2 linked regions of the Elephas maximus indicus genome follow. The protein of the gene in region 2 interacts with the protein of the main gene of each other region in a biochemical or structural test. Links are inferred from orthologs where the notes say so. Each region holds a gene or a part of one and is shown on either strand. Other genes may lie near its edges. The genes, in order: ATG7 and MAP1LC3A.

Region 1 (16,536 bases), on a different chromosome or scaffold from region 2:
GGCCTTATATGTAGATCCAAAAAAAAAAAGCTACTCCGCAACAATGCCGTTTGTTACATGCAGGAAGTAGGAGGCACTGGGAAGAGCACAGGTTCATGAGCCACAGACACCAGAGTTCAAATCCAGCCTGTTACTTTCTAGCCACATAGCCTTGGGCAAGTCACTGCACTTCTCTGAGCCTGTTTCCTCATCTGTAACACAGGACACCACATATCGTGTAGTTATTTAGAGGATTCAGTTAGAAAGTGCGTCTATCTGGCACACAGGAAGCACGTAAAACGTGAGGGCTAATATTACCAACAAAATACGTGCTAACGACATAGTGGTTTCCACTGAGTTATTTCTTCAAGAAACGTTTATATTAGTCCCTATGGTATAGTTCAGGAGTCACTGGGAAAGAAGCTATTGTTGTCATTAGTTGCCATGGAGTTGGCCTGACTCACACTGGTTCCACACACGATAGAACAAGACGCTGGCTGGCTGCACCCTGTGACTGGCTGCGGATCAGGCTGCTGTGACCCACTGGGTGTTCACTGGCTGATTTTCAGAAGTAGATCACCAGGTGCTTCTTCTTAGTTCACCTTAGTCTGACAGCCCCGCTGAAAGCTGTTCAGCATCATAGCAACATGTAAGCCTCCTCATGCACTGGCCAGGAATTGAGCCCAGGTTTCCCACACTGAAAGGTGAGAATTTTACCACTGAACCACCACTGCCCACTTAAAGAAGCTATGGTCTCTACTTTTAAGGAGCCAATAGTTTTGAGGGAAAGCTAGACAAGGAATGTCATCACAGCAATTTGATAAGCCATGGATTTGTATTTTAGAAAACACCTGCAGTTTAGAAAGGGCACTTCAGCTTGTATTGGAGACACAGCAGTGAGAGCCAGGCTGCTGGAGACAGGACACCCAGCTTGGAGATTATGCAGGAAAATAGGCAGGAAGTGAGGAGGGCCTGAACTAAGGCAGTGGTGGAGGGAAAGAAGAGGAGGAAACACATCCAGAGACATTAAGGAAGTAAGATCTGTGGAACTCAGATGACTGCCTGGCCTGGGAGAGAGAAGGGATGGCATGAGAGGGAAGAGTTCAGGATGACTCTCAGGGTTCTATTTTGGATGATTAAATGGAAGGAGGGAAATATGTGAGATAAAAAGGATGGAAAGAATCATAAGTTTGGAGGGAAAATGATGAGCTTGGTTTTGGACTTGTTGAATTTACAGGCTGGCCCTTAGGAGAGAGATCTGGGCTTGAGTTACAGAGCTGGGTGTCATGGGTACATGAATGAGTACTGAAGCCATGGTTGAGAAGAGCAAAGAGTAGAGGGCAAAGCCCTGAAGAAAGTGGGTCAAAAGAAGGAAAAGAACACACAATGCAAACTGAGGGGGTAAATGGCCAGACAGACAGTACAAAGAAGGACTAGTTTTCATAAAATGAAGGAATATAAGCAACATGAGATGTGCTAAGGAGTCAAAAGATAAGGAAGGAGTTGCAGCAACGCAGAGGCCTGATGACGTGGGGAGCAGTTTTGGTGGCGTGGAGGGGATGAAGCAGGGTTTCAGCGGATGATAACTTAAGAAAGCGGAGGTTAAAGCTGCAGATAACTCTCCCAAGAACGGTGGCCAGAAAGAGGAGTGATGCAGTACAGCAGAGGTTAATGGGAGGGTGTTTTGTAAATTCCAAATTGAGAAGAAATTGAGGATATTTAGAAGAGAGACGTTTGTGACACAGGAAAGAAAAGGAACAAATGATGGAACCAGTCCCTAAAGAAAAGGAGATGGAATCTGAAGCACAGGTAGAGAAATCAGCCTTGTTCAAGACAAACACCACTTCTTTCACAGAATTAGAATAAAAGGCACAATGATAGGGTCAGCTGGAGATAAGCTTGTAAATGATAGAAGCTGAGGAGCCTTAACTGATGGCTACGGCTCATGAAGTAAAAGACACAGCAGGAGCGTGAGGAGAGGGATGACACCGTGGATGTCATAGCGGGGAATGGGCTGCCTGAGGACACAAGGGGATCGCTGAGCAGCTCTGAGGGCCCCGCTGGCCTGCCTGGTAACGGGATGCTTGTTAAGAGCCTGATGCATCCCCCGATGAAAATCGGGAGAAAGGGTCTTAGGTTACTGCAAAAAACATGCAGTCTGCTCTGCACGGTCAGACACATCGAGGAAAAAGGACTTCCTTTCTATACCATGCACTCGAAGAGGGACTGATGAAGATGAACATGTTCAAAGGATAGTAACTAGGATGAAGAAGGTGTGAGGAAGTCCCAAAGGGGATCGTTTGGGGGATGGACTGAGATCTAGTAACAGACCTGTAACAAGGCTCTCGTCCTTGTTGTTGTTAGCTGCCGTGGAGTCAGCCCTGGACTCAAGGTGACCCTATGCACAACGGAACAAAACTGCCCAGTCCTGCACCATCCCCCTGATTGGTTTCAGATCAGACAATGTTCCATTGCAATCCATAGGGCTTTCGTTAGCTGATATTCAGGAGTAGATCATCGGGCCTTTCTTCCTAGCACATCTTAGTCTGGAAATTCTGCTGAAACCTGTTCAGCAGCACAGCAGCACACATGCCTCCACTGACAGACTGCTGGTGGGTGTGCATGAGGTCCACTGGCCAGGAATCATACTCAGGTCTCCCTCATGGAAGGTGAGAATTCCACCACTGAACCAACAACACTCCTGGGAACAAAGTCAACCAAAAAACCAAACCCATTGCCATCGAGTCAGTTCCGACTTACAGCGACCCTGTAGGATAGAGTAGAACTGCCCCATAAGTTTTCCAAGGAGCAGCTGGTGGATTCCAACTGCTGACATTTTGGTTAGCAGCCAAGCTCTTAACCACTGCATTCTACCCTGATTACACAAGCAGGCCTAACTACACTGGAGAAAGGTGGGAACAGGATAGACAGAGAAAGGAGGAGAAGAAAGGCATTGGGAAGGCATTTACATCCATGGGTAAAAGTGGAGGACAGGCCAATTAGGCTTCCAAATAAAATCTCAGAGGTAGTCAGGGATTACCACACAGTGAATTCATCTTTTCCCAATATCCTGATTCCTGCTTTCCTCTTCTCCCTGTTACCCAATCATTTATCAAATCCAGAAAACTCCACCTCCTGTTCTCTCTCAAATCTACCCACCTGTCTCAGTCCCCACAGCAACTGCACTGACATCATTCTGTCTTCAATTTCTGTCATTGGAATTACTGTAACAGTGCCCTGACTGCTCTCTCTACTGGTCTTGCCCTGTCCAATGTAATCACCACACTGCTGCCCGGGTAAATTAAAAGAGACTAGAGCATATCACAGCCCTCTTAAAAATTCTTTAGTGCCCCACCGCCTGTTCCCATAGCTTTAAAAATGAAGTCCAACCTTCTTAGATTGTCATGCTAACTGCTATTCTTTGAGTGTTTACTATTTACCAGTGTCAAGTGGGTAATACATCAGCTCATTCAATTCTCAAAGAAACCCTGGGATGTAGGTTAACACATCCACTTTTTATGGATGAGGAAACTGAAGCTTAGAAAGGAAGTGATGGCCCAAAGCCACAAGCCTAGTTCATTAGCAAGGCCAGTATTTGTACACGAGTATCTTTGATTCCAAAGTCTGTGCTCATGACTACTACATGCCCGTCATGATCTCGCTCCCACTTGCCTTTCCACAGTCACCTCTTATTCTAAAACTCTTCACTCCAGCTCTGCCCTCTCACCTACAACCCTTCGCTCATGCCTTTCCCAGTGTCTGCGGTATCATCTCTCCCACGTCCCACCCCTCTTCAGCTGACTAATTCCTACTCATCCTAGGACTTAATAAAACATCACCTCCTCACAGAAGCCTTCTCTAATGCTTCAGCCTGAATTACGGGCGTTCCTCAGTCCCCCTCTAGAAAACCTCTACAATAGCTTCATACTGTACTGTTGTTGTCTATCTCCTTGACTTAAAAAACAGTAAACTCCTTGAGAACAGAGATATGTATCTTACTCAATTTTGCATTCCCAAATTGCAGTGCACTGCCAGGCACTCAGCAAAAAAAAAAAAAAAAACCTGCAGCCATCAAGTTGATTCCAACTCATAGTGACCCTGTAGTACAGAGTAGAACTGCCCCATAAAGTTTCCAAGGAGTGCCTGGTGGATTCAAACTGCCAACCTTTTGCACTCAGCAGTAGCAGTTTCTATTATGGAACACTGGTGGTCTAGTGGTTAAGTGCTACAGCTGCTAACTAGAAGGCTGGCAGTTTGAATCCACCAGGCACTCCTTGGAAACTCTATGGGGCAGTTCTAGTCTGGCCTATAGGGTCGCTATGAGTCAGAAACGACTCGATGGCACTCGGTTGGTTGGTTGGTTTGGCTGGGAACAGAAAAGGGACCTTGTGGTTGAATAATGGAGAGCCCAGTATTCAGCTCCTTAAGGTGTTTCAAAATCGTGTCACATAAGGAGCAGGAAGGAGTTGACCAGGGGGAAAAAAAAAAAGGGTGGGGGTGTTCTAGGCAGCAGGAACAGCAGGAGCAACACAAACAAGGAGTGTAGCCAAGACAGAATCTGCAAGCAGTTTAATGAGACTGGGGCACAGAGTTGGGGAGAGAGGGAAAAGTCAGGCAGGATGAGCCTTCACAGTCTGGCCTTTTCATCATTCAGGTGTTAGCTCCAATGTCACCTCCTCAGAAAAGACTTCTCTGACCAGCTAGCTTTTTAGAAATAGCCCTCTACTTCCCCCAATCCCATTACTCAACAACCCATTACTTTTTTTTTCTTCATAGCCCCGATCAGTATATGATAACACCCACCACCCTTCAAAAATATTGTTTATTGATGATTCCACCCACCACCATCAAAAAGCAGGCTTTGTGAAAGCATGGTCCTTACTTATCTTATTTTGCTGGTATATCACCAGAGCCTACCACACATATGTGTTTGGCACACAGAAAACACACAACTGCTTGACTCATTTATTCAACAACTATTAATTGGATAGAAACCCTAGTGGAGTAGTAGTTAAGAGCTACGGTTGCTAACCAAAAGGTCAGCAATTCAAATCCACCAGGCGCTCCTTGGAAATTCTATGGGGCAGTTCTGCTCTGTCCTAAAAGTCACTATCGGAATCGACTCAGGCAATGGGTTTTTTTTTGGCTACTAACTGCATGTCTATAATATGCTAGACACTGTTCTAGATGCTGGGGATATAACAACAAATAAAACAAGACGAAATCTTCTGTCCTTGCGGAGCTTACCACGGGTAGCTAAATTAAGTATACTTAGCATAAAGGCGGAATCGACTCGTAGGCACTGGTTTTGAAAGAGCATAAAGGCGAGAGGGTAGGAAAAGAAGTCAAACTAGCAGCTTTCAAAGATGTGCAGGACAATTAGGTGGAAGGGAGATTTTAAGAGCCTGGAGGGACGATAAGCTGAGATTACTGGGTAACAGCTTTCAGCTCCACGTATGACTTTTTAAGAGACAGCACTTGGGGAAAACCAAACAGGAGAAACCAGAAGTAGTGCGCTTTCTGGGACTGTGGAAATTTAATCAATGGGCAGGGATGTCACAGAAGAGACCCAAGTATTCAGTGGAAAAGGGACTGCGGGACCCAGAGGTCCCAAACTGACAGCCAAAGGTATGCCTGGCTTCAGCTGCACAGTGAGTTCTGGTTTCATATCTCCAATATCATGACAGTATTGTGCTTATAAAACTCAGTTCAGTCAAAATAAAAGTCTGATTATATTTCCGACAAAGAACTTTTCTTACACCTATCGTTTACCTTATCTGACTCCTGTTAAGTATTAGAGTTTGCAACCCCTGGACCAAACCCAAGCATCCCAGAACCTTAGCTGTCAACACCCTTAGAGTTCTCATTTCCCAAATGACATATAAACATCCCTATTTTACAGATGAGGGAAGAGAGGCTCAGAGAGGGGAGACAAGTGCCAGACTCACACAAGAAATCTGGGCAAAGCCAGGATGAAACCCAGGTGTCCCATCTCCTGTGTTCCAACACCGGAGATTTTGATCACTCCCTGCCCAAGAACAGGAGGAACTGATTTAAGAAATTAGCAGGCGCTTTCCTTGTCACTAATAGTCGGAATCGACTCGAGGGCAACGGGTTTGTTTTTTCGTTTTCCTTGTCAGACGAGCCCGGGCTGAAGGAGCCTGAGAAAACACTGTTGGAGAGGGTGACAGCGGGAGGCAGTGACGCCCGGCAGGTGGAAGGACCGCCCAGGGGCGTGCGGGGGAGGAGCTTGAGTCCCGCCAACACCCAGACCCTCATCGCTGAACTACCCTCCTCTCCCTAAGCCTCCAAAACCCACCCGCAGGACCCCCACTACTCCCTCAACAGCCGCGGCTCACTTACCGCCGCTCAACTTCCGGCAACCACAGCGTCGTCCGCAGTGCGCGCCCCAATGACGTACCATGGCCCCGCCCCACCAGGGTGGGGAGAGCGGTGCGCGTGCGCACAAGGAAAAAACGCGCAAGCCTGGGGAAATGAGTCCCTAGCACCGGATTGAAGGGGAGGAACTTGAGTCTTGGGAAGGCGGGGCATCAGGGGGTGGGCGAGGCTACCTGGTGAGAGCCGTTGGACGGAGACTTTCTCTGCCTTAACGGATGTGGGAATGTGTACATGGGCCGTTAAACTTTCAAAAAAATGCCCCCACATTCTCTTCCGATTTCAGAGGATGACAGGAATTATCATCATTCCCATTTTCCAGGAGAGAAAACCTCCAACATAGCAGGGGACCACTACGGAGGCAGTGCGGAGAGACCCAAAAACCAAACCCACTGCCGTGAAGTCAATTCTGACTCATAGCGACCCTATAGGACGGAGTAGAACTGCCCCATAGGGTTTCCAAGGCTGTAAAATCTTTACAAAAGCAGACTGCCATGTCTTTCTCCCACAGAGCGGCTGGTAGGTTCAAACCAATGAATTTTGGGTTAGCAGCGGAGTACTTAACCACGGGTGCTGAAAATACAACAGCGAATGTGATAAACTCAATCTGGCATAGAAAGTCTCTTCACAAAGTGACCCTGATATGACTCTATAGACTTAAAACAGAGCAATGACTACTATTTGTTGATGCCCTACCATGTTTGTAGTGTTTCCTAGCTCTAATCCTCACAACGGTCCTTCAGGATAGATGGTATGGTACTACCCCGATTTTACATATGAAAGAACAACAACAAAACCCAGCCGCTATCAAGTAGATTCCTTGAGAAACTGTTTGAATTCTCCTGGAATCTAGATTTCTTGGTCCATGGAGTTAGGGTGATCCACATAGGTCATTTGCCTTTAGGTGTCCTTTTAAAACTTGAGCCTAGAAGAAACTTGTTTTCTAAAAGCCACTTTTGAGCCAAACAATGGTCTATATAAACTAGTAAAACTGTTTTTCTTTGGGCATTGTGGTCTTTTGAAGAATTCAGTCAGTTTCAAGAAACAGACTCCAAGGATCAGACTGGGAGCTATGTTTTAGGGTAAATCAGTAATTATTTTAATTGCTTCTCAAGACAATGCTGTATGAAATTTTTCTTGACCACAAATTGCTTATCAGTTCTGTTCTGCCCTTTCCTCATGGCAATGCCGCTAAGATTTAGTATAAGAATTTTGGAAGTTCTTCTCATCTTCGGAACATTTTTGACTCTCTGGTCGAAAATTTACCCCAATTTGCAAATTGTATATTAAATAAGTGGTGCCTTGGTGGGCACAGTGGTTAAGAACTATGGCTGCTAACTAAAAGGTCAGCAGTTCAAATCCACCAGCCACTCCCTAGAAACCCCATGGGGCAGTTCTACTCTTTTGTATATGGTCCCTATGAGTCAAAATCAACTTGACGGCAACGGGTTATATTAAATAAACTTCAATTCATTTCTATTACTGGCTTAATATGACTTTGTTTTAATACTACTTATGGCAATCCAGGAAAACCCTGGTGGTGTAGTGGTTAAGTGCTACAGCTGCTAACCAAAAGATCAGCAGTTTGAATCCACCAGGTGCTCCTTGGAAACTTTATGGGGCAGTTTTACTCTGTCCTATAGGGTTGCTATGAGTCAGAATCGACTTAACGGCAATGGGTTTGCCTTGGTTTTGCTATGGCAATCCAGAGCCCTGGTGGCACAGTGGTTAAGTGCTACGGCTATTAACCAAAAGGTCAACAGTTCAAATCCACCAGTTGCTCCTTGAAAACCCTATGGAGCAGTTCTACTCTGTACTGTAGGGTCACTATAAGTTGGAATTGACTCGATGGCAACAGGTCGTGGCAACCCCCATGCATGCAGAGTAGAAGGGCACTCTGTAGGGTTTTCAAGGCTGTGAACTTTCAGGCCTTTCTTTCAAGGTGCCTTTTGGTGGGTTTAAACCACCAACATTTGTAGGCAAGTGCCTAACCATCTGCACCACCCAAGGACTCCTATGAAAGAACAGAGGCTGGGAAAACATAAGTGCCTTATTGAAGATGAAAGAACTTTGGGCCCAGGCCTCTAATGGAAGCCTGTCTTAACACTGTCAAATAAAAAATAAATCTGAACTGAGCAAGAAGAAACTTTATTCAAAAGAATTATTGCAAGAGGGAGAAAGGGACTGTCTTAGTCATCAAGTGCTGCTATAACAGAAATACCACAAGTGGATGGCTTTAACAAAGATAAATTTATTTTCTCACAGTCTAGTAGGTTACAAGTCCAAATTCAGGGCATCATCTCCAGGGGAAGGCTCTCTCTCCCTCTCTGTTGGCTCTTGAGGAAGGTGGTTGTCCTTAGTCTTTCCCTGGCCAAGGAGCTTCTCAGGCACAGGGGCTCCGTGTTCAAAGAACTCCTCTGCTCCTTGTGCTGCTTTATTGGTGGTACGAGGTGCCCCGTCTCTCTGCTTGCTTTTTTCTTTTATATCTCAAGAGATTGCCTCAAGACACAATCCAATCATAGGTTGAATCCTCCCTCACTAACTCAACTGCCACCCATCCTCTCTCATTAACATCATAGAGGCAGGATTTACAACATATAGGAAAATCACACAATACCAGGAGTCACGGCCCAGCCCAATTGATACACACATTTTTGGGGGGATATAATAGGGTCACTATGAGTCGGAATTGACTCGATGGCAGTGGGGTGGGGGAATTCAATCCATGACAGGGACTATTGCAATAAAGGGGAAGAGGACTACTATTACAATAGGGAGAATTCTCTGACCAAAGGATCTACAACCAGTCTTATGTGTTAGGCAAAAGGAATTTTTCTTTTATAAAACCCATTGCCGTTGAGTCGATTCCGACTCATAGTGACCCTGGTGGTATAGTGGTTAAGTGCTATGGCAGCTAACCAAAAGGTCGGCAGTTCAAATCACCAGGCGTTCCTTGGAAACCGTATGGGGTTATTCTCTACTCTGTCCTATAGGGTCGCTATGAGCTGGACCCTATTTTCTTTTATAAAAAAAAAAAAAAAGAAACCAGTGCCGTCGAGTTGATTCCGACTCATAGTGACCCTATAGGAGGGAGGAGTAAACAAGGCTAGAAACAAGGAGTGGCTTGATTGGATCAAAAAATGGTTTACCTGGAGGCCAGCCTATTCTCAGGAGGGGTTGTATGCTGGCTCAGGCTGAGGATGGGTCAAAATTCAGGAGCCTAGGGGAAGGGGAGAAGCTTAACCAAAGTCTGGTTAACAAGCATTTTTTTCCAATTCATCAGCGGAGGGAAGTCGTTCAGCTAATCTTTTATGAGGCAAAGAATGGGAATTTGGAGGGTCTGGTGGTACAGTGGTTAAGAGCTATGGCTGTTAACCCAAAGGTCAGCAGTTGGAATCCACCAGCTGCTCATTGGAAACCCTATGGGGCAGTTCTACTCTCTCCTGTAGGGTCATTGAGTCGGAATGGACTCAATGGCAACAGGTTTGTTTCTTTTGTTTGTTTTTTTGGCTCAGTGGTTAAGAGCTCAGCTGCTAACCGACAGGTCGGTGGTTTGTACCCACCAGCTGCTCTGCAGGAGAAAGATGTGACAGTCTGCTTCCATAAGATTGCAGCCTTGGAAATCCTGTGGGGCAGTTCTACTCTGTCCTGTAGTGTCACTGTGAGTTGGAATCAATGGCAACAAATTCGGTTTGTATTTTTTGGTGTCTGATCTTGGAGTCCCTGGGTAGTGCAAACCATTAACACACTTAGCTACTCACCGAAATGTTGCAGGTTTGAGTCCACCTCAGAAAAAAGGCCTACTTTCTAAAAATCAGCCACTGAAAACTCTATGGAGCACAGTTCTACTCTGACACACATGGGCCGCCATGAATTAGAATCAACTCAACAGCAACTGGACTGTAATAAACAACTTCAGGAGTTTCTGCCCAGCGCGCAATGATTCCCTCTTCTTTGGGAACTGTTGGTTTCTGTCTAAGTACCACATACGCTGCCCTGGGCCACCTCCCTCCACAGTTGATTGGGGCAGAGGTGGATACCTATGATGATTCTCTACCCTGAGTTTTGGACTTTTGAACTAATGCTCGTAGAGACTAAAATTAGGCACAATTCACATAGGTCCATGGCAGTATTCTAGAGGGCATGTCCTTAAGTGCTGAGGTTCCTTTGGCTGACTTGGCTCAAGCCCTTCCCAAAGCTAGGTTACTCAAAACTCCACTGGAGTCCAGAAATACCCCGGGAACCATTCACAAAGCTTGTTTCTGTCATTTGGAACTCTGAAGCAGCTTCATAGGGTTGGAACCATGTCTGTCTTGTTCTCCATTGTCTACCAACACCTGGCACAAGGTCTGGCCCAAAAAGCACTCAAAATGTGTTTGTTAAATTAACAGACAAAGTCTGAGCATCAAAAATAAATGTGGGATCCAGGGCTAATGGTGACTCAGGCCACTAATGTGGCCACCTTGTTAGCAGGGAGTTAGGGTGGGGCTCAGAGCAGCAGGCCTGCCCCTGCTGACCAAGATGGGGTCGGGGGTGGCTTTTGTTAGACAGACCATTGGGGCACCAAGACCATGGAACATCAAGTATCAAGAGAGCTGCAGAAACTGGAGCCACTGAAAGGCAGAGAATGTTCTCAGACACAGCAGGGAACGAGGTTCCTTGACACTTATCTAAGACCACAGCGATTCAGGCTAATGCACTTTCACCACTTGTCTTGCAGCTCAATTAAGGGGAGCAGAGACTCCCTACAGTAGGAGACCTGACCAAGCCAGCCTAGGTTTTGAAAGGCCACTGGCAAATTAGATCTTAACAGCATCGTTCCTTCATAGCACTTACAGTGCCTAGCAGCCAGAAGAGCCCCAGCAACTTATTCCACTTTGTTAAGCCCATTAAATCTACCTCCTGGAAGTCCCTCCCGTCTTCAAAAGGGAGCCCAGCCAAGTTTCTGAAAGCCAAGAAGCCCAATGACCAATTCACCAATGGCCAATTTGCTGACTGACAGATTTTCTGAATGAACACTAAGCTAAAATGACCAATTTATAAGGTTTACAGCAATTTCTATCAATGAAATAGCTTCGTGAGCTTTTAAAGATTTATGTGATACCGTAGTTGACTGGGTTTCATTTTGTCTTCAGAGAAAGCAAAATGTTTTCTATTTATCAAAAGCTAAGGGTTGTTTAGTTTTCCTTTGAGTATATTAATGAAGAATATGTTCTTGAACATAGCTTTTATTTTTGAGTGTATTAATATTATGCCACTCAGTCTCCTTTTTCTATCCCCCACTTGCTTCTTCTCCTTTCCCGTCTCCTTTCCCGTCCCTCAGACTTCCCCTTTTCCATCCCCTCTCAGTGTCTTTATGTCTTCATCTCTCTATGTCTTGTTATTGTTGTTAGCTGCCATTGAGTCGGCCTTCAACTCATGGCGACCCCATGCACAATGAAATGAAACACTAATTGGTCCTGTGCCATTCCCATCATCTACTGAAGATCCCACCATTGTGATCCACAGGGTTTTCATTGGCTTACTTTTGGAAGTAGATTGCCAGGCCTTTATTTCTAGTCTGTCTTAGTCTGGAAACTCTACTGAAGCCTGTTCAGCATCACAGCAATATGCAAGCCTCCACTGATAGACAGGTGTGGCTATGCCTAAAGTGCATTAGCCAGGAACCCAACCCACGTCTCCCACATGAAAGGTGAGAATTCTACCACTGAACCCCCACTGCCTCCTTCTCTGTGTCTTAATCTCCCCATCTGCCCCTTAATCTGCCCCTCCTTCAGTATCCTCCTCTTTCTGGGCATTTGGTTCCCCCTCTCTCCTTCTTCTGTTCCTTGGTGTCACCCATCTCTTCTCCTTAGACCCCTCCTGACCGTCTGTCTCCTCCTCTCCACTCCCTAAACCAAAAAAGAAAAACCCAAACCCATTGCCGCCGAGTCGATTCCAAATCATAGCGACCCTCTAGTTCCTCTTATTTCTACCCCTCATTCTTCTTGCTCTCTCTCATTCTCTCCACCTCAGTTTCCCCCTTTCTGCTTCTGGGTCTCCCTGTAGTAGCAGTAAGCAGAGAGCATAGATAAAGAGGACATTCCTTAATATGCTGCCATTTAAAAAAAAAAAGTGAAAACCAGGTACTATAATTTCTCAACATGTTTCTAAAATGTTTTTTAAAAATCTCACCTCATGTGAAGTGTTGTAAACCTTGTAAATGATTCAAAAGAAGCCAATTTTTGGTAAATCAGCAAACTTAATAAATTTGGCAAATTGGTCATTCTGGGAACTAACTTTAAGCTAATCAGCCTTAAGCCAATAAAAAAGAAACCTGAAGGAGGTCCTGAGTCTTAGCCACAATTGTGGTTTCTACGACAGCCTTCCCCTATAAAGGGTTTGTTTTAATATTTAGGGCAGAAAGCCTGGCTTCAGCTGGATTTCATGCAAGCTGCCAGCCATCGATTCTTTCCTACATGTGCTGGGCTGAGTTATCTCTGCATCATAGTCCATTGTTTTTCATAAATTCAAAATTAATTCAGTCACACAGTCAGGAGTAGGAAGGGTAGGTTGATACAGTGGAAAGGAAGCAGATTCCAGAATCAGGTCTTAGAGTGGTTCCTTAACCCTCTGTACCTCAGTTTGCCTATTTGTAAAAGCAAGGAAATCCCCTTCATGAGGTTGTTGTGAAGGTTAAACTAGATAACATGGGTAAGGCACAAAACCTGGATCTTAGTGTATCCTCAGCATGGTTTAAAAAACATATATATGAGTGTCTGCTGTGTACCCGACACTGTGGCATACACCACAGACACTATAATAAAATAACGCTAGACTCTGACCATTTACACTTTTTAACTATTTCTTTGAGTTCTTGTCAAACCCCAAAGTCAGAGCTCATAACCACTTCTCACTACTACTTCTGTCAATTATCATCAGTATAAGTAATGTCTGTGTGGAGTGGTCTTTTTAAGTGTTCGGGGTCCTGAGGGATCCTGAGACAAAATTCTCTCACAGGTCTTCTGAGCAATTGTTTCTGACCTGGAAATAGACCAGCTGCAGCTTCAAAAACAAGGAAAAACATCTCCTAAACTCTCCCAGTTTTGAGCAAGAAGAACTTTTCGTGATGCGGAACAGAGTGAAAATGAAGCTTTTTATTAAAAAAAAAAAAAAGTCCTTTTCTAAAGCTATTTACAAATGCAAACAGAAATGGGAGAGAAACGCTATATCAAATCTTGTAACAGTTGATACTACATTTGAATGTATCTTCTCAGTCCAAGAGACTCCAAAGTTAAAAAGAAAGAAATCACTTAACATTGTAGTTTCAAACATCATATTTAGGTAGGTAAAAAGGTCTCATTTTAACAGATCATGCAAACAGTAACACAAGATTCAAAATACTAGCTTGTACAGGCACTCCCATTTGCTACACATATTACAGTCTAGGCTCAAGTTTTAAAATATAGATCACCACCAGATTGCAACACAAACACCAAATAAAACTGTATGTTCTCATGCCTTATTAGTTTTTGCTTAAGAAGGCTGACTGTGAAAGAACATGGCCACTTTTTTAACAAACACAACAGAACTCACCAGTAAATAGTAGTCACCTTCTGCGGCCACAAGCTTATTCTATGTCAGCTGGTTTTCCTCCCAACTTATTTTTTCAAGAATTGCCACTACTCTTGGGAATGTGTGCGTGTGCGTGTATTTGTACTTAGGAGAACCAATCTCTGCCTTTTGGAGAAAATGGGGTACCAGACAGGGTTTTTATCCTAGCTCCCCTGTATAACTAGCTATGTGACCTTAGGCAACTTACTGAAACCTGCTGCACCTCGATTTGGTGGAGCCTATAACAACACCCTCCTGTTGTGGGGTGCTGTGGAGCCTATAACAACACCCTCCGTTGTGGGGTGCTGTGGGGTTTAAAGAAGATAAACATGGTACCAGTTAAACCAGTTGCCACTGAGTCAACTCTAACTCACGACAACTCCATGTCAGAGTAGAACTATGCTCCACAGGGTTTTCAATGACGATTTTTCAGAAGTAGATTGCCAAGGCTTTCTTCCAACATCTCTGGGTGGAATCAAACTGTCAACGTTTAGCAGCCAAACGCATTAACCATTTGCACCCCCCAGGGACTCCAAACCTGGTACAGCCTTCAAGAAATAAAGCTTTCTTGCCCCTATTCCCTTTTTTGTTTTGATTGTGTAACCATTTTCCTTTTTCTCTTTCTTTTGAGGGCAGCTTTTATCATTATATTTTTAAGAGCCAAAAGGAATTTGGGGTTGAAAATGATAGCTGTTCAAGCTGCATAATTTCCTACTCTAAGACATGCGTGAGTGAGAAATAATAAGGCAGAATTTCCAGGGCAATTGAGATACTGGCTCTGGAGAAAGTTGTAAAAGAGGCTCAGAAGAGAGGTGTCCTGACAAGTGGCAGCCACAGAGGGACAGCTGTCCTGCCTCTCAAGGTGACCCCTTCGAAGGAACACCATCTGTCTGCGTGTATATAACTCTCTGCACAGTCATCAGCTCCATTCCAGGAAAGATCTAGAGTTCTGGCTAACGCTCCAGTGAAGCTCTACCCACATGTCCCTTGGGTTGCTAATTAATTCAAGTCTGAAAACTTGAAAGTACAGTCTGAGGCTCCCAAATCTCCTGAGGAAAAGGAGAGTTCCATCCAGGTCTGATTCTCTTGGAGAGACGCTGCTTTCTACTTAGAGTACAATGTCTCTGCTGACCACCACCATCTGCAGTTCTTCCAATGGTGCATAAGAACTTCCCAAAGGACCTAGCGCCTAAGACTGTTGTTTGACTCCAGGAAGCCCAGAGGCCTGGCAACACACAGGCCTTTATCCTCCATTGCCTTCTAGGACACCATCGGCATCCCTTTGTTGCAGCCCATCAGAACCCTGTTTAGCAGTGAATGTGCAGAATTTTCTTGAATGTCTTTTTGAAGTTCTCATTGCACAAGGGATAGATGAGGGGGTTCAGCGTGGAGTTGATATAGCCCAGCCAGATGGTAAACATGTGTGCTCGTTCACTGAAGCAGCTCTCGCAGAAGGCAATTACCATGAAGAAGATGAAGTAGGGAGTCCAGCAAATGATGAAGGCTGCCATGATAAAACCCAATTGTTTGGCTGCCTTCCTTTCACGGTTCACGTGCAACCCAGACACAAACTGTCTTGAATGTGATCGAAGTCTCTTCCACGTGAACTTGATATAATCCAGGCTTGTGCCAGGCCCACTTTTCAATTTGCCTTTCCCTGACGCTGGCTCAGTGTGGGTATTTAAGTCTGCTTTGGAAAAGGGCTGGCTTTTACCTAGGGTCTGGTCCTCTGATGTCTTGCCAGCCCCATGTGTGTTCAGGCCCTGCTTGTCTATCTCAAGCTGGGTCTGGTTGATGGCTACATACTCCCTGCCACCCTCCTCCACCATGGTCTGAATCGGCACCACGTTAAGTGGGAAGCCGTGGAGTTTGGCCACTTCTCCATCCTCCTCTTGGCTGAAGACAACTGGGGATTTCATCTCCCCTGGGTCTTGGGATGGTGGCTTCAAGGCAGGTCCACCACTGGCATCTTTACACTTCCTTTTCAGAACCTCGCTGGGGGACTCTCTCCCTGGTTTCTTGGCACCGACCTTGGGATTCTCTGGCCTCTGCCTAAATTCTGAGAAGGAAGGGAGGGATCCATCAGTGAGCTCCCGGTGCTGACAATGTTGCTGCACGGCCTTGTAGATCTTGGCATAGAACCAGAGCATGAGCAAGGTAGGCAGGTAGAAGTTGATGATGGCGGTCATGATCTTGAACCAGGTGACATCGTAGAAGTCTGTCTCACACTTGTCCTGCTGGTACTTCGAGCCCCCTGATATAAAACGATGCCAGCCTAGAATGGGGATAATCCACAGGAAGGAGAGAAACCAGGCACCCATGATGGTAGCTGATGCTCGAGTCTTGGTACGATACCGCAGGTACCTGAGGGGCTGCTGGACAGAGCGGTAGCGGTCGATGCACAAGATGAAGACACTGAAAATAGATGCTGTGCTGGCCACGTAGTCCATGGACAGCCAAAAGAGGCAGAGAGGCCGGCCCAGGGACCACTTGGACCTGTGGAGGTAGATGATGTTCATGGGCATGACGACAGCTCCCACGATCAGGTCTGCCACTGAGAGGCTGACA
Region 2 (16,366 bases):
AATAAACTTTTTCTTTGGTAATAATTTTAGCTTTACGGAAAAGCTGCGAAGATAATACAGAGAGTTCCCATACACCCCACACTGAGTTCCCTCATTGTTAACATCTTATTGTGGTACCTTTGTCACAACTAAGAAACTGACACTGGTACATTGTTGTCAACTCATAGTGATCCCATATGATGGACTAGAACTGTCCCATAGGGTTTCCTGGCTGTCATCTTTATAGGAGCGATCATCAGGTCTTTTTCCCACACAGCCACTGGGTGAGTTCAACTGCCAGCCTTTGGATTAGCAGCCAGGTGCTTAACGGCTGTGCCACCAGGGCTCCTTTCTGGTACATTGCTATTAACTCCAGACTTGATTTCACCAGTTTTTCAATTAATGACCTCTTTCTGTTCCAGGACCCCATTCAGAGGACCGCATACATTTACTCGTCGTGTTTCCCCTGTCTCCTCTGCTCTGTGATAGTTTCTCAGTCTTTCCTTGTTTTCCATGACCTTGACAGTCTTTAAGAAGTACAGGCCAGCTACCCTGTCGGATATCTTTCAGTTTGGGTTTGTCTTTGTTTTTCTCGTAATTACACTGCGGTTATGGGTTTTTGGAAAGAACACCATATCAGATCATATTGGGGTATAAGCTAGCCACATGACATCACCAATGATGTTGACCTTTATCACTTGGTTAAGGTAGCATTTGCCAGGATTCTGCACTGTAAAGTTACTATTTTCTCTTTCCCAGCTTTATTCTCTGGAAGTGAGTTACCAACCCTAGCCCACCCTCAGCGCTGGGAGGTGGGTAAGAATTCAGCCCCACCTCCTGGAGAGGGGAGTATATATGTATATTGTTTGGAATTCTTCCGTAGGAAGATTTCTCTCTTCTCCCCCTTTTATTTAAACCCTGGTGGCGTAGCGGTTAAGTGCTATGGCTGCTAACCAAAGGGTCGGCAGTTCGAATCTGCCAGGGGCTCCTTGGAAACTCTATGGGGCTGTTCCACTCTATCCTATAGGGTCTCTATGAGTTGGAATCGACTCAGCAGCACTGGGTTTGGTTTGGTTTTGGTGGATTGTTTTTCAATTGAATTTTATTTTTTTTATCAAATTTTTATTTCCTAATTTTAATAAGGCTTGTATAAGGACTTCTTTTTTATTGTGCTTCAGGTGAAAGTTTACAGCTCAAGTTAACTTCTCATTCAAAAATTTATACACATGTTGTTTTGTGACACTAGTTGCAACCCCCACAATGTGACAGCATGCTTCTCCCTTCCATCCCGGGCTCCCTGTGTCTGTCCAGTTCCTGTCCCTTCCTGCCTTTTCGTCTTGCTTTTGGTCAGGAACTGCCCATTCGGTCTCATATATTTGATTGAACTTAAGAAGCATGTTCCTCACTTGCATTATTTTTTTGTTTTACAGGCCTGTCTAATCTTTGTCTGAGGAGTGGGCTTCATGAATGGTTTCATTTATGGGTTAACAGAGCATCCAGGGGCCATAGTTTCAGGAGTTCCTCCGGTCTCTGTAAGACCATTAAGTCTGGTCTTTTTATGTGAATTTGAATTCTCTCCTATGTTTTTTCTCCTGCTCTGTCCAGGACTGTCTGTTGTGTTCCCTGTCAGGGCAGTCATTGGTGGTATCTGGGCACCATCTATCTAGTTCTTCTGGTCTCAGGCTGGTGGAGTCTCTGGTTCGTTTGGTCCTTTAGTCCTTTGGGGGCTCATTTTGTTTTGTTCTAAATTCTGACTTAGGCTCTACCCCTCATCTGACCTGGCTCAAGGTCCCCTCCACCAGGACAGACACTGCATCAGGCTCTTCTTCCCCAGCCAGGGCATCTTGGGGCCTGAGTGAGAAAAGCTATTGCAGGGTATGTGGTTAGCATCTGCTGTGATAACTGCCTCTACTCTGGGGGTCAGTTGGGAGCTGCCAGTCCAGGCAGCTGTGGGGCAAAGCCTCAGGGGGGCTCCCTGGGTTCTGTCTGCCCCACTGATACCTGTGCCCTTTGAGACTGGGCCCCAGGTGCATCACCTTGCAGGTTCCATGGCCACTTGAAGTTTTCTCATCTTTAAGACCGGAATGAGCATACCTTCCAGTCAGGCTCCTGTGGTGATAGGATGGCAGGTACTTGTTGTTGTTGGTGACAGGAGCACCTCCCTGAATTCCTCCTCCAGGCCCCTCCATGTCTCTTTCCTGCCCACGGTATGTTCAGCTGCTCTCATTAACTGCAGGTGAGTGAGAGAAGTGCCAGGGCTGGAGGGCTGGTGGACTAGATCCCAGCCAGGCTCACTGCAACCTCTAACTTGCTCTAAAACCCTAACCAAGTGCCTCCTCTGCTGTAGGCCTCAGTCTCCCTGTCTGTGCCATGAGGGAGATACTCTGAGTGTGCTCTAGGTGCCTGTGAACTGCTGGTATCTGCAGTGGTGAGCCCTTTCCTCCCCTTCCTTCTGTGGGCCAGGGCCCCTGCCCCTCCTGTTCCAGGCATCGGAGGACTCGGGTAGTTTGGGATGGGTGGGATTGAATGACTGCAGGTCTTACGTGTGGCTGACCTTAGCAAATCATTGTTCTTCTTTGGGCCTTGGTGAGGGGGATGGTGGGCTCAGCTTCTAGGACCCTTTGGATTTGGTGGCCCAGAATGGAAAAGGCAGACTGAGCTGGGCATGGAGGTAACTGGTGAGCCAAGCCACTTAGGGAACCTGACCCAGTAGTGCTCCCAGTCCAGTGAGGAGACCCACAGTCATCAAGCACCCACACAGGTGAATGTGAAATTCCATCCTGGGTGAGTTTGTGCTACCAAATAGAGGCAAATATGGCCAAGACCTAACGTGGGGGATAAAGGAGAGCTTCTCTGAGGCAGTGCTCCTGCCTGAGACCTGAGGGGCAAGTAGGCATTGACTAGATGAAAGGGGAGAGAGCACTCCAGGCAGAGGACACAGCAGAGATCTGCAGCAGGGGCAAAGAGGCCAAGTGAGGTGGAACACAGGGAGGGTGAGGCATGTACATGGGTGGGGCCAACTGCAAGACCCCCAAACAGGAAGCCCTTGGAGTATTTTAAGCTAGAAAGTAACATAACCAGATTTGTTTTTGCAAAGCTCCCTCTAGCTCTGGGGAGAATGGACTGGAGTGTTTTGAAAGTAAAGAGCCTAAGGAGGAGGCCTTGCTGTTGTTCAGGAGTCGACAGTGGCTTTTTACAGAGTGCTGGCCATGGGGATGAACAGAAATGGGTGGAGTTGGGAGACAGTTTAAGAGATAAAACTGAGAGGACTTGATGGCTTATTGGATGAGGGGGATGTGTGTTGGGGTGACAAGTGCCAGATAATTCTATGGCCTGGGCACCCAGATGGAAGATGGGGGCATGGGTGCCGAGTGGGAGAATAAGATTTGACAGGGAAGTGAGTTTGGTCTGGATCTGGCTGGGGTGGAGGGGCCTGTGGACCACCCCTGTGGTGAGGTAGAGGGGTCTCTGGATGCAGATGCACTAGCCTGCTGTTCGGAGGCCAGGGTGTGGAAGGGAGATGTAGATCGTGGTAGGGAGAGAGGGGGCGGAGTGCAGACAACTTTTGAGAGGCCAGCGAGACCTTGCAGGGCCAAGGGTGGGCCCTGAAGTGGGAGGCTTTGGGCAGGGTCTCCTCAGTGGCTGTTGATCCAGGCATAGGCTGGGGCCTTCCTGTCCCCCAGCACCTGCCCAGCCCCTCAGGGACCCTGGGTTTAGAGGGCAGTACCCTCCAGCTTCTCACATCCTCTCTCTTTCCCCAGATCCTGCTCATCTCTGATTACTTCTACGCCTTCCTGCGGCGAGAGTACTACCTCACACATGGTCTCTACTTGACTGCCAAGGACGGCACGGAAGCCATGCTTGTGCTCAAGTAGGCCTGACTGAGCACAGGACTGCACGGACTTCAGGGGGATGGAAAAGCCAGGAGCTGGACCGTGCCCTCCAACCAGGATTGCCAGGAGGCTAGTCCCTGGGTAGATGGGGGTTCAAGTCCAGGATTACAAATTCCTGGCACCAGATGGGGGCCGTGGCTGGCCTGTGGGGAGGATCCAGGAGCACCTCACCTTGGACCCCCACTTTGTGGCTTGCACACCAAGGAGCTCCCTCGTAGGCAGAAAGGAGGAAGATGCAGGTGGGCAGGACTTGTTGGGTTGTGGCTACTTAATAAATGTTTTTGTTATGAAGATGTCTACCCTGGGACCACAGTGTATGCCTGGAGAGGGTAGCTTGGCCCCTCATACTGCCACAATACCAAGGGTTGGCGGTTTGAACCCACCCAGTTCTGCAGAAGAAAGACCTGGTAGTATGTTTCTGTAAAGATTCCAAACCAAAACCAAACCCAGTGCCATGGAGTCGATTCCAACTCATAGCGACCCTAAAGATTACAGCCAAGAAAACCCTATGGGGCAGTTTTACTCTGTCACATGGGGTCACAACAAGTCAGAATTGACTCAAAAGCACCCAACAACACTACTACACACTGGCATGGGTTTCCAGAATGAGCCCTGAGTCCACAGAACAAAAGTCTGTTCCCTGCAGGCTGAGAATGGTTCCCCACAGTCTCATCAGCAACCCTCCCCACCCCACAAGCAAGCAGCAGGAGGCAAAGGGCCAGGCAGGCCTGAGCAATCTTTAATTCTGCAGAGGAACAATGACCACAGATCCATACACCATGTCAAGACCAGGGAAGCCAGGGACCAGTCCTTAGGGGTGAGCAGGTCCACGAACGGGGCAGTGCCTCGGGTGGGTGAGGGGCAGATGGGCAGAGAGGCATGGGCCTAAAAAAAAGACAAACCACACAGAGCAGGGGTGCAGGGGGCGGCTCCCCACCCTCCCCCATCCCAGCCAACACCCAGAGGGGCAACCCTAAAGTGACTGGCCCAGGATCTGCCCAGGGGCACAGGTGGCATGGTTGATGTCCCCTGGCTACGGGGCCACATCCCTGCCCAGCCCACCAGGGGCAGAGGCAATTCGGTTCAGGAGACAGGGGCTCCCTGGGCAGAGCCTGACTGGCTCCCCACCCCCCCCCCCCACTCCCAGGCCAACCCCCCCTACTGCTGGCTCAGAAGCCGAAGGTTTCCTGGGAGGCGTAGACCATGTAGAGGAAGCCGTCGTCGTCTTTCTCCTGCTCGTAGATGTCTGCGATGGGTGTGGACACGCTCACCATGCTGTGCTGGTTCACCAGCAGGAAGAAGGCCTGCGTGGGGTTCAGCTGCAGGCGGCGCCTGAGGCGGGCGGGAGGGCATGCGGACTGTGAGCTGCCCGGTCCCTTAGCCCCCAACCCTCTCCCCAGGATGGCTCCCAACCTTCGCTTCATAACCACCTCAGATCCTTCAAAAGGGTCTCATCTCTGTCTCCACACTGACCCCAGCCCGGACCCTTTTGACTGTCTGGCCGCCCCAGAACAGATGCCCAGCACCGGTCCCAGGCCCTGGCCCCACCATAGCCTCTTCCCGGAGGGCATCGGTCGCCTGCCTGACGCCAGCTGGACCCAAGTCCCTCTCCAGCGGCGGGCTGCCCGCTTACCGGATGATCTTGACCAGCTCGCTCATGTTGACATGGTCCGGGACCAGGAACTTGGTCTTATCCAGGACCGGCAGCTGCTTCTCACCCTTGTAGCGCTCGATGATCACCTGGGAGAGGGGCGGGGGGGGGGGGTGCGTGAGCCCAAGGCGGGGCCTGGGGCAGGGCGGGGACGGGGAGGGGACGGCGGGCCTCACCGGGATCTTGCTGGGGTGCTGGTCGCGGATCTGCTGCACCTCCTTACAGCGGTCGGCTGCGGACGACGGTCGGTGGGGCGGTGAGGCCGGGCGGAGGTGCTCTCCGGGTCCCGTCCTGCTCCCGAGGGGCGGCCGCAGCCCCGCCCCGCCCGCCCCAGCCCCCGCCCCCGGGCCGTCCGGCCCCGCAGTCCCCGGCACAGGACCGAGCGTTGATGCCCCCGGCCCGGCCGGAGCCCGCCTCCCAGCCCCGGGGCCAGCCGGAGTCTGACGTCATGGGGCTGACGTCACCAGCGGCAGTCGGAATGGGTCCGACGCCCCCCATCCCGCGCTCGCAGACCGCCCGCCAGGCCTCACCGAAGCTCCGCCGCTGCTTGAAAGGCCGGTCCGAGGGCATCGCGCGGGCCCAGCGGGACGCGCAGGTCTGGGCTCCGGGGTGCGCGGCGCAGGGATGTGGCTGCGGTTCGGGGGCTCCGGGGGCTCCGGGGGCTCCTCGCCTCGCGTTCAAGGGCTCCGGGCTCGCGCTGAGCCCAGCCGCGGCGGCTCCGGGAGGTAACTCGCCCCGGTGACGTCAGGTCACAACATTCCTTAAAGGGGAGGCCGGCGCGCCGCTCCCATTGGGCCGACGCAAAACCCGCCCGCCCGAGTCCGTGACGTCACGGCGCAGAGAGCCTGGATTCCCGGCCCGGCGACGCGAAGGGGCGGGGGTTCCCAGGGAGCGTCACAGTCCCCTGACGTCATGGTCTGCGCGGGCACCTCTTGCCAAGTTCCGGACTGAGGTGAAAGCTGAAAACCGGCGAGACCGTTGCGGGGAATGGGGTGAAAGGGAGCGGGGGGCGGACCCAACCTGGGCCGTGTGGCTCATGCCGGTAGGAGAGCGTGGGCCCGGCAGCAACTCAGCATCCACCTGGTCCCACTCTCGCTAAGTCATTTGACAAACGCGCACCCAGGGCGCGCGGAGTTCCAAGGACTGTACTAGATGCTGGAGATAAGAGCAGTGAACCAAAGTCGCCTTCATGGAGCTTTTGGTTACAGGAAAAAAAGGGGGGAGGTGGGAGAGGGGAAGAATTTCAACGTATGGAAAGAGGAAGACACGGAAAAGGAGCAGACAGGTTTTAAAAATAATTTCTAGAATTGAAAAATAGAGGCATTGAAATTCAAGTCTCAGTGGATGGGATAAGAACACAAATTGGACACAATAGCAGAGAAAATCACTGAAGTGGAGGATAGATCGGAAGCATTTACCCAGAGAAAGAAGGTGATGGAAAGTATGAATGAGTGAGTGACATGAATAATAAAGTGAGAAGGACTCACAGGTCTAATCATCAGAGTTCCAGAAGGAGAGAATAGAAAGATTGTGGCAGGAAAATAAGACTGATGGTTGACTTCTCAGCAGCAAATATAAAAGCCAGAATAAAATGTAATAACATCTTCAACTTCTGAGGGAAAAATATGGTCAACTAGTAAGTTAATCCATGATTTAAGAGTCTGAGAGAAGGAAAGATATGTTAAGACAAAGGCATAGTTTACACAGATGATTGCTTAAATAATTTTTGAAGGATATACTTTAATAATAACAAGTAACCCAGAGGGAAGAAATTAGATGAAAAAATGGTGAGCACATAAGGTAGTAAACTGCTAGGTAAGTCTAAACAGGCACTTAATATAGAACAGTAATAAAAAAGCAAAAACAGGAATAAAAAGCAAACCCGTTGCCCTCAAGTCCATCCCGCCTCATAGCTACCCTGTAGGACAGAGTAGAACTGCCTCATAGGGTTCCCAAGCCTGTAGTCTGTACAGGAACAGACCACCACATCTCTCTCCCCCAGAGCAGCTGGTGGGTTCAAACTGCTGACCTTTCAGTTAGCAGCTGATTGCTCAGCCACTGCTTTTAGAACAGTAATAGTAATGATTAATTTGTGGGGATTAAAAAGAAGGTGCATGGGACACAATAACATGTAAGGCAGGAGAGGGTAATCAGAGTTAAAGTGTTCTTAAGAAATCCGATTTGTTTGAGAGGAGGATAAAGATATTGACAGTTGTCTGGCTTCGGAAAGTCAAATATGTATTTTAAACTTTTAAGAGTGACCATTAGAAGAATAGAAATGGAATGCATAACTGTCAGTGCTGAAAAGAGAAAAGGGTAGTAAAAAAGGGTGCTAAAAATACAATAGAAGGTAGAAAGGAGAAAAAGGAAGTAAAGTAAAAAGGATGGTAAACAGCACAAAACCAGAGGTAGGAAATGTGTTTTAAGTTCACCTGTTAAAAAACGTTATCAGATTGGCTAAGGAAGATAAAATCCAGCTCTGTGCTGTAAAGGCGTGATGGTTAACATTGCGTGTCATCTTGGCTGGGCCACGATTCTCAGTGTTTATATGTGATCACTCCCATGATGGAATCTGCTGTGAGTAGCCCATCAGTTGAAAGGGAGTTTCCTCGGGGGTGTGGCCTGCATCCGAATATAAGACATTATGGCTTTTTGCTCACTCTGGATCCTGTGGCTTCCTCCTGTTTGTCTGACCTCCGGCTCTTGGGACTTGGGCTGTTAGCCTGTCTGCAGATCTTGGGATTTGTCGATCTTCACAGCCTGAGAGCAGGAGCCCTGCTCTCTGACCTGCTGATCTTGGGTTCATTAGCCCCTGCAGTTCCGTGAATCAAGAGAAGCCTCTATCCTGATCCACAGACTTGGGACATTCCAGCCTCTACAATTGCGTGAGCTGTTTCCTTGATATAAATCTCTCCCTGCGTGTATTTATATGCTTTCCTGGTTTTGCTTCTCTAGAGTACCCAGCCTAAGGGGACACTTAAAACCTAAAGGCATCAAAAATAAAAAAAGGTGGGAAAAGATGTACTATAGAAAAACTAACCAAAGTATGTATGTATAGCAAAATCAGACAAAATAGACTTTAAGGCAAAAGGCATTGTTGGGGATAAAACAGGTCACTAGAAAATGATGAAAGGCACTATTCTCTAGGAAGATATAACAATTCTGAACTTGTATGTTCCAGGTACAATAGGCTCAAAATATATAAAATGTCAGAAGTATAAGGAGAAATTGCCAAATACTCTATCATACTAGGAATTTTTTTTATTGCTTTAAAATCTTTAAAAAATTTTTTTTAATTTATTATTTTGTTGTAGAGAATGTAGACAGCAAAACTTACACCAATTCAACAGCTTCTTCAGGTACAATTCAGTGATACTGTTTACATTCTTCAAGTTGTGCAACCATTCTCACCCTGCTTTTCCGAATTGTTCTTCCCTGATTAACATAAACTCACTTCCCCTAAGTTCCTGTCTAATCTTTTGAGTTGCTGTTGTCAGTTTGATCCCATAAAGATAGATCTTGAAAGAGCATAATGCTCAAGGCAGACATTTTTTACTAGTTAAGCTACACTATTGTTTGGTTTTAAGAAGACTTCAGGGGATATTTTTGGTTTCAAATTTAAAGATTATCTCAGAGCAATAGTTTCAGGGGTTCATCCAGCCTCCACAGCTTTGGAAAGTTTGGATTCAATGAGAATTTGAAATTCTGTTCTATATTTTCTCCATTTTGATCAGGATTCTTCTATAGAATCTTTGATCAAAATGTTCCATACTAGGAAATTTTAATACTTCTCTCTCAGTAACTGATAGACCAAGCAGCCAGAAAAGAAAGGATATAGAAGATTTTTAACACAATAATCCTGATCATTGAACTTCAGTTGAACCCTGAACCCAACAAGTTATTTTAAGTCACGTGTGAAACATTTACAAAGAATTACCTAACCACTAGGCCGCCAGAAAAATCTCAGCAGATACCAGATAATCAATTTCATGCAGACCGTATCCTCTGACCACAGAGTGGGGAAGTGGAAATTTAAACATACTTCCAAATAACTCTGTACTCAAAGGTGAAATCGTGTAGAAATAGAAAACATTTAGATTTGATAAAAAATGAGGACAGATATCAAAATCTCTTGGAAGGACATGCAACTAAGGCAGCAGTCTTAGAAGGAGATGTCTAGCCTTATTATGTATATGGGTAATTTAATATAAAATTAAATTTAAGCAGAGCATCAAATTTAAAAAGGAGTAACAGTGTAAACCCAAAGAAAGTGGAAGGAAGATAATAAGAGCAGAAATTAATGGATCAACAAATCAAAGTTGGGCTTTTGAAAAGACCGATAAAATGAGCATTAGTGTGCAAAAGAGACATAACTACAGATAGAACAGGAATCACAAAAATGACTGGAATATTGTAAACAACTTTATGCCAGTAAATTTAAAACTTGGATGAAATAGACAATTTCCTAATAACATATAATTTGCTAAAACTAACTCAAAAAGAAGTAGACAAACTTCATAGCCTTATACCTATTAAGAACATTGGGAAAATGGAAAAAAAAAGTTAAAAATCTATCTCCCAAAAAATCAACTGGTCTAGATGGTTTTCCACGTGAGTTCTACCAAGATAAAAAATCCCAAACCTGCGGCAAACATTATACTTAATGTAAAACACCATACTACATGGTGAAATAGTGAGCATTCCGCTTAAAGTCAGGAACCAAGGGTTTCTGTTCAATATTGCATGGAGGGCCCACCCAAAGCAAGACAAGAAGAATAAAATTGTTAAGGACTGGACAGAAAGGGGCAAAACTGTTACTGACAGCCAGAAAATCCAAGGGAATCTACAGACAAGAAGACCCAAACTAAAACCCACTGCTGTCAAGAAGAGACTGGTAAATAATACAGTTAACAACGACAGTACACAGTATCAGGCTTTAGAAGAGTGTGTGAAGTTGGGAATGTTTTTGCTCTGCTGATGGGAGTGTACGGGTATCCCCTGCTTTTGAAAAGTTCTCTTTATGCCACTTGGCTTTTACGAAGGACCTACATTAGTACCTCTTTTGCTAACCCAAAGAAATCCAAAGAGTATTTTTGCTTTTACAAAAAAAGGCAAAAAGTGGAAATAGCATTCAGCATTTGTTGAGCCGTTAGGCAGTGCACACCCCAAGCAGCAAGAATGATGTCACCAAGCTCCTTCACCAGGAACTGCACTCAGCATCAAGCCACCATAGATTTGCTCTGGGTCTGTGAGCGTCTGTGCATTATGTCGATTTATTTTGTGCATCCGTTAGTAACATGTCTTAAAGTATCAGAAAAGCCTAAGAGAGCTCCTAAGTGTTTTATGCGTTATTGGGTATGATTTGGTAGATTATTTTTTGGGTCCGAGAATGCTGAAAAAATTTTCGCGTTTAAATTAATGATAATTGCGTCTTCAAATTATGCCATTTTGGCTTCTGAAAGTTTTCATAGGAACGATCTACTTTCGGATAGTGGAGAAAACTTGTGATTTCAGCCACGTTGGAGAGCAGTTTGGCAAAATCTACCAAAACAGAAGATGCCTGTATCCACAAACCATGAATTCCACTTGTACATGTGTCCCTGAGCCCAAGCAAACATGGTTAAGAATATTTATTGTAGCATTTTCCTGATAGCAAAAAAGTGGAAACCACCTGTGATAGTTAAGGTTGTGCGTCACCTTGGCTGGGCCACAATCCTCAGTGGTTTGGCAGTTATGATGTAGTTTGGCAGCTTTTTAATGATGTAATCACCTCCATGATGAGATCTGATATGTGATCACCTCCATGATGGGATCTGCTGTCAGTGGCCAATTAATTGAAAGAGATTTTCCTTGGCTCTGTGGATTGCATCCAATATAGATGAACTTTGTGGCAGAGCTTGCAGGCTTTCGCTGGCTCTGGATCCTGCAGCTGGCTCCTGTTCATCTGACCTCTGGTTCTTGGGACTCGAGCTAACAGCTGACCTGCCGATCTTGGGTTCAACAGCCCCTGTAGCTACGTGAGTCAGGAGAAGCTTCCAGCCTGACCCACAGAGTTGGGACTTCACAGCCCCTACAACCGGGTGAGCCATTACCTTGATATAAGTCTCTCTCTCTGTCTATATATAAACACTTCACTGGTTTTGCTTCTTTAGAGAACTGAGCCTAAGACACCACCTAAATGGCCTATTAACTAAATATCTTGTTGTGTATTCCTGTAACAGAACACAATACACTTACAATGGAAGGATCTAGAAGGGGGTCAGCAAACTTTTCCTGTAGAGGGCCAGGCAGTAAATGTTGAAGGTTTTCAGGCCATATGGTCTTTGTGGCAACTACTCAGTTCAGTTGTTGTAGCTGAGAGCAGCCATAGACAACACCTGAACAAATGGGACTGGCTGTGTTCCAAGAAAATGTTACTAAAACAGGCAGGTTTGGCATGAGGGCCTTGGTTTGCTGGCCATTGATTTACAGCTCTGTGTCAAAGTGAAGAATCTCACAAACATTGCAACATAAGTTTGTGATCAGAGCCATTAAGGGCAGCAGAAAGAACTAGGTCAGCTGTGGCCTTAGGAAGTGGTTACACCTCTCTTTTGTTTTTCAGACTAAACCCTGGGCTGAGGCTAGAGTTGGGGAGGAGAGCCCATCCTCCAAATCCAAAAGTCTGTGCTCATCTTCCTCTTTCCTGACCAGTCACAGTGCCTGACCTGCCTCCTCCTTCTGTCCTCAGGCTTCCCTCTTTGCTGGTTCCTCCTCATCTCCCAGTCTCCCCTGAATCCTGTGGCCTGGCTACTCCATGCCTTGACTTGAATGTCTGATACCTCAAACTTGACCTGCCCCAAACCAACCCATGTGATCTTCCCCGAAAGCTTGTTCACTTGTAATCAACACTGTCTCATTTTTTCCAGGCCAGAAACCTTGGTGTCATCTTTGACTCCTTTCTTTCCTCCACCACCCACATCCAATCCATTCCAATATCATATCAGTTCCACCTTCAAAATATCTCCAGAGTCTGACCACTTCTCACCACCTCCATTGCTGCCACTTGGGTCAGAGCCACCATCATCTCTCGCCAGGACAATTGCCATTGTCTCCTCACTGCTCTGGCCTGGCCCCTAGTGGCAACAGCGATCCTGTGCACACAGGAGTTGGGTCCCACCGGTTCAGAGCAACAGCCAAGGCTGACTCAGGCCCACAAGGCCCTTGGAATATGGCTCCCTGCTGCACCTCTGGCCTCAACTACTGTTACCCTCACCCCTTTGGCTTCAGCTACACTGGCCTCCTTGCTCTTCTGAGTAAGGATTGATTATTATTATTATTTTTTTTTAATCATTTCTGTTGTGCTTTAGGAAACCCTGGCGGCTTAGTGGTTAAGTGCTACGGCTGCTAACCAAAGGGTTGGCAGTTTGAATCCGCCAGGCGCTCCTTGGAAACTCTGTGGGGCAGTTCTGCTCTGTCCTGTAGGGTCGCTATGAATCAGAATCGACTCGACGGGACTGGGGTATTGTGCTTTAAGTGAAAGTTTACAAATCAGGTCAATCTCTCACATAAAAACTTACATACACCTTGCTACATACTCCCAATTACTCTCCCCCTAATGAGACAGCCCGCTCTTTCCCTCTGCTCTCTCTCTTTGTGTCCATTTCGCCAGCTTCTAACCCTCTCTACCCTCTCATCTACCCTCCAGGCAGGAGATGCCAACAGAGTCTCAAGTGTCCACCTGATCCAAGAAGCTCACTCCTCACCAGCGTCCCTCTCCAACCCATTGTCCAGTACAATCCATGTCTGAAGAGTTGGCTTCAGGAATGGTTCCTGTCCTGGGCCAACAGAAGGTCTGGGGGCCATGACCACCAGAGTCCTTCCAGTCTCAGACCATTAAGTCTGATCTTTTTTATGAGAATTTGGGGTCTGCATCCCACTGCTCTCCTGCTCCCTCAGGGATTCTCTGTTGCGTTCCTTGTCAGGGCAGTCATTGGTTGTAGCCAGGCACCATCTAGTTCTTCTGGTCTCAGGATGATGTAGTCTCTGGTTCATGTGGCTCTTTCTGTCTCTTGGGCTCGTAATTACCTTGTGTCCTTGGTGTTCTTCATTCTCCTTTGATCCAGGTGGGTTGAGACCAATTGATGCATCTTAGATGGCTGCTTGCTAGCATTTAAGACCCCAGACGCCACTCTTCAAAGTGGGATGCAGAATGTTAATAGATTTTATTATGCCAATTGACTTAGATGTCCCCTGAAAGGATTGATTATTCTTGTTTCCAGGTTCTAAGTGGACTTTTCTGAAGACTGAAGGGACTGAAACCCATCCAGGGCCCCCCAAACCTCTGCCTCAGACTGTCCACTTTTCAGTCCCCAAAGATGCTCTGGCTCCACTGGGGAAGTGGAGGCCCCTGCCCATATGGAGTCTTGAACCTAGCCTTTCCTCTCTTCTGGGCCTCACTGTCTCAGTTTCCCTCTTTCACAGTGGCCATACACCCAGCTAGAAGACTTAATTTCCCAGCCTCCATTTTAGTTGGGAGTGGCAATGTAACTAAACTTTGATCAATAAAACATAAGTGAAAAGTGATGTATGGGATTTGTAGGACATCTCCTTAAAGAAAAGAGGTGCTTCCTTCATCTCCATCCTCTATTAGCTGCCTGGAACATGAATGTGATAGCTGGGGCTCCAGCAGCAATTTTGGATCATGAGGACAAGATCCACACACCCTGAGGATGGAACTGAAAGCTGAAAGGAGCCTGGGTCCCTGATGTCTTTGTGGAGCCACCATTCCAGCCTGAACTGGATAAGCTTCTATCTTGTTTAAGCCATTATTTTGGGGTTTCCTGTTATTTGCAGCTGAACTGAATTCTAATTGAAACAGCTTCTGTGGCTCCTCACTCTCCTGGCCTCCCTGCTCCTCATTCTCCTCTGCTGGCTCCTGCTCCTTGAGCTTCCCTGCAGAGGGGAGGTGTCCCAGGTGATGTCTTCAGACTTCTGTCCTTTCATCTCTCTTCTCTTACTCTGCTGAGTTTGCTTGAGTCCCTTGTCTTTAAATACAAATCACAAATCTCTTTGTCCAGCCCAGACTGCCAGAGTTGTGTATTTAGCAGTCCATTCAACATACATTTCTAAAAATTTTTGAAAAATCAGTTTTATTGAGGTATAATTTCAACATATCTTATTTGACCTGCTCATGTTTAGTAGACCCAAATTAAGCAGGCCATTTTGGAACTGTTGATCCCCTCATCCCTCCAAACATGTTCCCCAGTCATTCCCAGTCAGCAAACGGCAGCCCCCGGCTGCTCAAGCAAGAGCCTAGGTGTTTCCCTTGATGCCTTGTTCCCTCACTCCCTACATTCAAACCCATCGGCAAGTCCTAACGGCGCTCTCTGCGGAATCCCCCGCCTCTTGACAAGCCACCATCAGTTCTTAGCTGGCTAAATGGCGTGATTCCATCTGCCCCCACATTCTCCACAGAGCCACAAGAAAGCAAAATTGGTGTAAATTTTTATAAATAATAGATTTCAAAGATATTTCTTGCTTGCCATTGGTCTGCACCTCCAGATTCACCCTGGAGTTCTAGCTAACTCTCCTATTAGTTACATCATTGGAAAAGGACTGAGAAGCACTGGCTGATCATATTAAAGCATATCTTTAGGTTATTACAGACCTTTAATAAATTTTTATCCAGATAATATTTGGATAAGTCAAATAGCACTTTAAATACTTAGAGCTGTTCCTTATGATATTTACCTTCATGTTTCTAAACCATGTTTTTTCCGTGATTTCTTGAGTCTTAAGTTCTTACCATGAAAGGTAGTTTGATTCTTACATTCCATTACCTTTCCCATCCCCTCAGCAGAGCTGTAGCACCATTTGGGGTTTATAGTATTCTACTTACAATTTTTTTTTTTTTTACTTACATAACTAGTATAGCTGAGCCATGTACTATCCCCTGGATTTGCTTTTTATTGTACAGCTTTTTGTCATTCTATTTTCTGGAATTTTGGCTTAGTTTTTTTTTTTTTTTGACCTGGACACTCAGATCTTTCAATCTGGAGATTCATGTCCCTATTTCTGGATGCTTTTGTGTAGCCTCTTGGCGATAATTTCCTCCCGTTTTCTCATTCTGGAACTCCTGTTAATCAGATGTTGAATATCCTGGACTGATCCTTTATTTCTAACTTTTCTCTTCCATTTTCTATCCCTTTTCCTCCAGTTTCTGGATTTCCTCAACTTTATCTTGAAACTCTTTGTTGAATTTATTGTTTATATCTTTGAAGAGTTCTTCGTCTCTGAATGGTATTTTTGTTACAGCCTCCATACCATGGCCTACAGGGCCCTGTGTCAGTGGTTCTCAACCTCGGCTGCATGTCACAGGGCCCTAGGGCCCTGTGTTGGTGGTTCTCAACCTTGGCTGCATGTCACAGAAACCTGGGGAGTTTTTTATTTTTACTGATGCCCAAGGCTCACAGGGATTCTGATTTATTGGTCTGGGGTGTGGCCCAAGCTTTTTGTTTTTAGTTGGCAGTGTCTCCACTAGAATATAAGCTCTGCTGCTGTCTCCTCTGTGTCTAGACTGACACCTGGTACATAGTAGGCATTCACCAGGTAATTGTTGAATGAATGAAGCACCATTTTGTGAAAGATTACTATAAAGTAAGAACGAGTTACAGGAATCTCCTAATGATGCTTTCTCTAAATATATATGAAAACCTAATGCCTGAAAGTCAAACAATAGTCTTGCATGTTGAAAAGGTGCTCAAAACCCAAGGACAGTTAACAAAATACTGTTTCCTATTTCACCTTGCCTTTTAGGCAAAGTCTTTAACAATGTATTTTTTGTGAACTAGGATGTTAAAAAGGA

Evidence for each region.
Region 1: the proteins of MAP1LC3A (region 2) and ATG7 form a complex in vitro, tested with the Homo sapiens proteins (2 studies listed by BioGRID, with this or other methods). The link is inferred for Elephas maximus indicus from reciprocal best matches to the Homo sapiens genes MAP1LC3A and ATG7.

The regions. Positions count from the first base shown.
Region 1 is NC_064838.1:36,390,767-36,407,302, reverse strand, and holds the start of ATG7 (ubiquitin-like modifier-activating enzyme ATG7), read right to left. Parts: upstream 6,408-16,536; 5' UTR 6,343-6,407; intron 1-6,342. Other genes in the region: HRH1 (histamine H1 receptor), read right to left, coding at 15,276-16,536. UniProt on the Homo sapiens protein: E1-like activating enzyme involved in the 2 ubiquitin-like systems required for cytoplasm to vacuole transport (Cvt) and autophagy.
Region 2 is NC_064843.1:34,893,121-34,909,486, forward strand, and holds MAP1LC3A (microtubule-associated proteins 1A/1B light chain 3A), read right to left. Parts: upstream 6,257-16,366; 5' UTR 6,094-6,256; coding exon 6,054-6,093; intron 5,756-6,053; coding exon 5,700-5,755; intron 5,613-5,699; coding exon 5,506-5,612; intron 5,205-5,505; coding exon 5,042-5,204; 3' UTR 5,035-5,041; intron 4,758-5,034; 3' UTR 4,591-4,757; downstream 1-4,590. Other genes in the region: PIGU (phosphatidylinositol glycan anchor biosynthesis class U protein), read left to right, coding at 3,741-3,854. UniProt on the Homo sapiens protein: Ubiquitin-like modifier involved in formation of autophagosomal vacuoles (autophagosomes). While LC3s are involved in elongation of the phagophore membrane, the GABARAP/GATE-16 subfamily is essential for a later stage in autophagosome maturation.